Linked DNA regions of Ovis aries. The protein of the gene in region 1 interacts with the protein of each later gene in a biochemical or structural test. Links are inferred from orthologs where the notes say so. Each region holds a gene or a part of one and is shown on either strand. Other genes may lie near its edges.

Region 1 (3,500 bases):
CCACAGGGTCACTTCACCTCCTGTTCTGCATCCTCAAAATATTTTCACCTCCTTCATTCTAAGTCCCCACTTGTTTTGATTTGTAGATGAAAGTAGCAACTTTGAGGATTATTATATAGCTATTTACTAAGATTTTTTTTTTTTGTAGCAACTGAAAGAACAAAAAAATGCCGGTGCCAGAACTAATGAGGTAAGTCTTTTTCTGTCGTGACTGGTCTCTTAACTAGCAGCTCTGTCCAGTGAGCTTGGCTCCATGGCCCCGGCGGTCCCGGGTGGCCAGGGACAGCTCACAGAGGGCTGAGCAGTGGGAAGACCAGCAGGCGAGAGCGGCAGGCAAACTCTGGGGCGTGGTGCACGTGTGGCAACAGTAGAACCACTCTGTGCTTGTGCTTTCTGGCTGTCCAGGGATTTTGCCCGTGAATTTTCTAGACCCTCACCAGCAGCCCAGCAGAATAGGTACAGTGGGCTACTGTGTTACTCACATTTCACAGGTGAGGAAATTGGACCGCAGGAAGTTTGCAAGAGTTAGCTAAGCGTGCACAGGAAGTAATTGTCAAAGCTGGAATCAGAGGCCAGCTTCATGACTGCCCTGCCAAAAACTGTGTGTGCCCTGTCCAGTGCCGTTATCCTTCTGTCAGCCCCCTCGTCACAGCTTGTCCTTGAAGAGCTGTTTGGGATGCATTCAGATATGAACCATGGGCAGAGGACAGACTGGCTAGAGTTGCTTTGGTTTGGTTGGATTTTGTTCTTTGTGCCTGCCTAGCACTCTGTCCTTCCCTACCACAACCAGCAGAGGGCGCGTGGAGCTGTGGGACAGGTGCCCGCCTGGGCCTGACCAGCCCTCATTTTTGGATCTTGACTCTTAGTAACCAACTAGGGACTAAATTTCCTCTCCCAGGAGCAGGAATGGAGTCACACCTCTCTGGTTCTAAGGTTGTTGTGAGGCTCACATTAGATAATGTGTGTGAAGGCACTGGGAACACAATAACCTTTCCACCCAAACCAACCAAGGCACTTTATAACCTGCCAGGCTTATGCAAATCTGCTCTCCTGGCAGATAATCACACTTGGAACATGTGTACACTTTCCACCCCTTGTCAGCCTGAGGTGTGCAGCCCAGGCCAGGCGGGTCCATGGTGGGCAGAGGGGACCGAGGGCCAGGAAGCCTTAGGTTGTGAATAAACTCATTAGAAGTTGCTATTTCCCTAAAGACATTTTTTTCCCCTTAATCCATAACCCTTGCCAGAATATTAGAAATCTGGTCTTTGAGGGAACACTGAGATACTTGGGATAATTAAATCTGGGATAGATTATTAAAAGCTGCTGCTGCTAAGTCACTTCAGTCGTGTCCAACTCTGTGCGACCCCATAGACGGCAGCCCACCAGGCTCCCCTGTCCCTGGGATTCTCCAGGCAAGAACACTGGAGTGGGTTGCCATTTCCTTCTCCAAAGCATGAAAGTGAAAAGTGAAAGTGAAGTCGCTCAGTCGTGTCCGACTCTCCGTGACCCCATGGACTGCAGCCTACCAGGCTCCTCCGTCCATAGGATTTTCCAGGCAAGAGTACTGGAGTGGGGTGCCATTGCCTTCTCTGTATTAAAAGCTAGAATCTTCTAAATTGTGCCTGATTGGGCTCATGCTTTCTGGAGCTTGTTAAAATGCTTAGTAGTTTCTTGCTGATTGCAGGATCAATGAACGAATCACTGTATTCGTTTTTTTCCCGTTTTCTTTTTTAAGGGTCCTCTCATCGTCACTGAAGAGCTTCACTCTCTTAGTTTTGAAACCCAGTTGTGCCAGCCTGGTTTGGTCATTGACCTGGAGGTAGGACTTACATGTTCCAGGATGGGAAACTTTATTTTCACTTTAAACTGATGCATGTATTTTAATTTTAGACATACTTATCTAATTGCTAAAAAAAGACTGCTGTTTTCAGCCATTACTCTCTCAATGCTAATTTCATGGTTCCGTCTGCCAGAGAACTCAGTTAACCTTTGTCTGAAGTGAAAGTTGCTCAGTTGTGTCCGAATCTTTGCGACCCCATGGACTATACAGTCCGTGGAATTCTCCAGGCCAGGAAACCGGAGTAGATAGCCTTTCGCTTCTCCAGAGGATCTTCCCAACCTAGGGATCGAACCCAGGTCTCCCACATTGCAGGTGGAGTCTTTACCAGCTGAGCCACAAGGGACGCTCCAATAAGCCAAATGTTCCCGTTGAGATGTCCTGTGTTAATTTTTTTATAAGAAGCTTTGACATTAATTTCTTAATTGAAAATATATGTCAAAGATAAATCCAACTAAAAACCAAAGACTGTACCTTTACATTCTTAATTTTTAAGAATAAAATATACGCGAATGTACATAGGGTTCCTTGTTAGTCTGTGAGGCTGCATAGTGGTCTGCAGGTACTGTTTCTGGGTTTCCGAGGATTTTAAGGTCTTTGTCATCTTGTAGACGACCTCTCTACCTGTCGTGGTGATCTCCAATGTCAGCCAGCTCCCAAGTGGCTGGGCCTCTATCCTGTGGTACAACATGCTGGTGGCAGAACCCCGGGTAAGGAAAACACATCTACTTTCATACCAGGGTTTAAAGACCCCCCCCCCCCCCCGCTCTAGTTCTGCATATTTGAAAGAGCCTATATGGGCCAGATGTTGGGGGAAAAGTGGCACAACTCAACTCATTGCTAAGGAGCTGAGTAATTCTGGAATAGCGAAGCATTCCAGAAGCGTGTGTATGTACTAGAAATTAAAAATTATGATTTTCCTTCCATGTGAATAAGCTTGGGCAACAGATGATTTTGTGTTATGCTTTTTAAAAAATGTATACACTTGCTAAACAAGGAGGGTCTGTTCTTAAGAATGCGGATACTCATGGTCAGTTAGTTTCAGTTGATTCCAGTTATTCACTGTACTTAGGTTCTTTGAAGTCACTGTGAACACTGATTTAGCGGATACTGAATCACTGTGCCTAAGGGAAGTATGGGTTCCCGTCAGCCTCTGGCAAAACCCTTGCATCTGCAGATCAATACATCACCTTGTTTTGTTCAAAGATCCCTTATCTAACATACTTGTTCATTCATTAACATCGAACTCATGGCAAGCAGCTTTATAACTCAGTCTGAACAGAGCTTATATATCATGTACGTTGGCTCCTTAAGGCATTTAGGAACACTAGACAGCACTTCAACTCGCCTCTGAGGGGCATATTTAAAAATGAAATCGCCAGCAAAAAAACCTCCAGAAATGCAGAGACCACAGCATTAAACAGATCTCAGAGAAGACACTCGGGTGTAGTGTGAGAGCCGAAACAGGAAGGCAGAGCATAGCTTTGTTTGACTTCAACCGGAAACACATGTTTGGCGACTCAAAGTTTTCACGGCTCTGTGCCTGGGTATGTCCACAAATGAGTGCCAAAGTGCCACGAATATTGATTCGGGGGTTAAATTTTAGTGAGTAGAAAAATGCACAGATATGAGTCTGCAAATAGAACTATTTCTCTTCTTCTGC
Region 2 (3,500 bases), on another chromosome or scaffold:
ACCCGCCTGGAACACCACACACGCAAACACACACACAGGCTTCTTGCAAACACACCATCCCAACACAGGGACACAGACTTTGCTGTGAATGCACACAGGCACACACGTGTACACACATGCGCATACACACTGGGCCACGGAGACACTTACGCCTGCACTTGTAGCCTTGCTTGTTGAGACCCCTGAAAGGCAAGTGACCAGTCTAGGTGAGTGTGGGGAAGGCCAGGGATGGGGGCTCTCTCTCCTGCTGCCCCACCCTGGTGGGCACAACCAGTCTCACCAAACAAACTCTCTGCACACGGAGCAGAATGTGGGCTGCCCAAAGAAGGTGGCGATGAACTCGTGGTGTCTGATGTAGTGAATTTTGGCTTGTTTGATAGCTCCACGGCGGTTCATTGTTGGGAACTTGGCCTCGTCTTCACTCCGCATAGACTGTTTGCAATCTGGGGGCCAGTGAGCAGAGAAGTCAACCCTGGCCCTTGGGAGGGGCCGTACCCTTTCAGTCCCTCCCAGAGCAGTCCCAGACAGACCACTGATGGAGGCTGCTTCCCTAAACCTCCATCTGGCCTCTGAACCTCCACCTCTAGCCCAGGTAGGGAGGGGCTTACCTATGTCTTCCAGGAAATACTGCACTGACATCAACACCTTGGCCTGGGGTTGCAAGTCCAGCTGCAGGGGTGAGGGTGAGGGAGTCAATGAGGGCGGGCCTGGGCCAAGTCAGACTCAGAACCCGCCCCCATGGTTGGTCCCTCAAGGCCCAGGGAGTCCTGGCCTCCGGTTGGCCACCTGTCTGCCCAGAGTGGGCAGGGCCCCACCCCTGAGCCCCGCCCCCACCCCTCATCCTGGGGTATTATTACATTTGGGGAAGTGAAAGGATCCAGCCCACACCCAGCTTGGCCACATGGCCCTGGGAACAGAGTGGGAAGGGAAACTCCCCACCTTCAACCCTGGCCACCCCCTTCAGAAGGATCTTAGAATGTAGGTACCCCTCCCCACCCCCCAGACATACATAGGCACACGCACATTGAAATGGGCTGCTGGTCTCTCTCTCTCTGTGGCCAGTCTCCTCACACAGACTGGCTGGTCCTTAGGACAGGACCCTCAGCTTCCCCAGACCCAGGGCCTGGAGCCCGACTGTGTCCATTGGGGTACTGGACAGACACATGAGGTGTCTCTGCCTGATTATTCAAGACTGGGTGCAGCCCCAGGTCAACCTCTGTCCTGGCCAGTTCCTTCACCCCTCACAGGAGGCTGAGCAGAGTCTCCATGGTCACAGGGTCTTTCCTGGGGGGGGGGGGGGTGCATCTTGGCTACAGGAGCCCACATGTAACCCCAGGGGGTAGGGATGCTCTGCCAGCATGGGTATCCTGTGGTCACAAGGGACACATGGCCACATGTGGGTGCAAAGTCCAGGTTTGGGCAGGTGAGTGGCAGGCTATGATCCTGCTCCCCACCCCTTTGCTGTGGAAGATCGTAACTGGTGTTCCCCAGTGCCTGCCCGGGCCTGGAATATCTGCGAAGACTCCAAACAGAACTGGGAACACTGGGGGTCTCTGGGAAGTGGGGACTGGGGCCTGGTGTTGGGGCCAGAGCTGCCCTTTTGTACAGCTTGAGATGTTTAACTCTGTACATCCTGCCTTTGCAAAATTAAAAGGGAAAAAAAATCAGCCACAACAATAGGAGGGCTCTCTTGAGAGCTGCCTAAGGGCCAGGTGCTGCAGTAAGCCCTTCACCTTCAGCTTTCCATTCCTTAGAACAATCGACCCCAAGGTAGGTCTCTTTAGCAGGTTCTTCTTTTACAGATTCAGAAACGGACTCAGAGAAGCTAAGGATTTGATGACTCGCAGGACCAGGATTCAAACCCAGGTTGTTGGTGGCCAGAGCCTGGGGTGCCCTTGGCCATCCCCGCTCCCTTTGCCCTCCCACGTTGTGTGCCCGTGGCTGCGCCCCTCACCCAGAACTCGGCCTTGCCATTGTTCTTCTTGCAGCGTTCGGCTAGCACTGACACACCCACCGTCACCTCGGACATTGGCTCCTCAGCGGCTCGCATCAGCACTATCTGGATAACGCGGCCCTCATAGATGTGAGCATCGAACGTGGACTTCCACTCAGGGTACATGGTGGGCTTCTTCTGCACCAGTGTCTTCCCGCGCTCTGCAACGGGCCAGGCAGGCGAGGTAGGGCTAGGCCCCTCTGTCCCTCCCTCCCTGACCTCCCCATGGCCTTCCATCCTGTGGAATCTGCCTGCTCTTTCCCCGAGGGCCCAGGTCCCCATCCCTCAGCCCTCACAACTGTGCTCTGCACGCCTCACCCTCTCACTCACGATCTGTTCCAGAACAGAAAAACACCGGCTGTTCCATGAGGGCACCCCCAGCAGGTTCCTCCCTGAGCCTGTTCTTGCTACTTCCTTCTCCTGTGACCCTCTTCCTCCAGCCCCTCTTAGATGTCACCTTCCCTTACGCATTTACTCAGTGAACACTGCTGCGGGCTCCCACATGCCAGACAGGATACTGGAGGCAAAGAACATGGTGCCCGTCCTAGAGCCCCAGTCCTAGGCAGAGACATGAATCCATTCACCCCTCAAGTGAATATTAAATCGTAGCTGTGATGAGACTGAAGAGGGCAATGTCAGTGGGTCTAGACCTACCCATGGTCAGGTGGCCTGCCTCAGCCTAAGAGTCAGGGAAGGCTTCCTAAAGGAAGGGACAGCTCAGCTGAGACCTAAAGGATGACAAGGGTTCACCAGGAAAGGACAGAAGCAAGCAGGAATGATGTGAGATGTTTGCTTCTTCCAGGAAGCCCTCCCTGACTGCAGCCTGGGATGGGACCTCGTCTGGATTTCCCTATCACAGGATTCACTGTCTGGCTCCCCCACCTGACTGTGAGCCCCATGAGGGCAGAACCTGGTCAGCCTTGAAGCATGGCATTGTCCTCTGTTCCCAGCACAAGGCCTGGCACAGATGGACACATGGAGCTCCTGCAAGGAGCCCATTCTTGGGCAAAACAACAAATGGGGAGGAACCAGAAGCCCTGGGCCCCAGAGAAGGTTCCGTATAGCCAGTGCAGGAGGTCCTATAGGCAAGTGGGTAGTCTCTACGGTCCTGCACTGCCAGGTGAGCTGGGCAGGGAGATGAGACAAGGAAGAGAAGGATCCCTCAAAGGTTCTAGGAGAACAACACACAGTTCCTTCCATTGCCGCCGCCTCCTGGCTCTGAATTCCCTGCCCCACTGGCAACTCCCTGTTGCCAGTGGCTGCAGATGGGTGGGGTCCAGCCTCTAGCCCTACCTGTGCTGAGAGCCTCCTTCATCTTCACAGCACAGAAGGGCTGGCTTGCCTCGTCCACATCCTTCAGGGAGCCCAGCTCGTAGGAGTTGAAGGAGATGCGCAGGAATGGTGCCATGTTGGGGCCTGCAGTGGGGCTGCAGAGACAGAAGACCTGAGGCAGGCGGCAGGTGCAGCCTGGGGAGGGTGGTCAGGTACCCACTACCCTCAGAGCTCC

Evidence for each region. The genes of interacting proteins can lie anywhere in the genome.
Region 2: of the proteins of STAT1 (region 1) and PRKCD, one has a biochemical effect on the other in vitro, tested with the Homo sapiens proteins (2 studies listed by BioGRID). The link is inferred for Ovis aries from reciprocal best matches to the Homo sapiens genes STAT1 and PRKCD.

The regions. Positions count from the first base shown.
Region 1 is NC_056055.1:193,229,021-193,232,520, reverse strand, and holds part of STAT1 (signal transducer and activator of transcription 1-alpha/beta), read left to right. Parts: intron 1-148; coding exon 149-190; intron 191-1,735; coding exon 1,736-1,819; intron 1,820-2,448; coding exon 2,449-2,547; intron 2,548-3,500. UniProt on the Homo sapiens protein: Signal transducer and transcription activator that mediates cellular responses to interferons (IFNs), cytokine KITLG/SCF and other cytokines and other growth factors.
Region 2 is NC_056072.1:47,855,499-47,858,998, forward strand, and holds part of PRKCD (protein kinase C delta type), read right to left. Parts: intron 3,421-3,500; 5' UTR 3,402-3,420; coding exon 3,287-3,401; intron 2,155-3,286; coding exon 1,955-2,154; intron 670-1,954; coding exon 609-669; intron 444-608; coding exon 281-443; intron 183-280; coding exon 151-182; intron 1-150.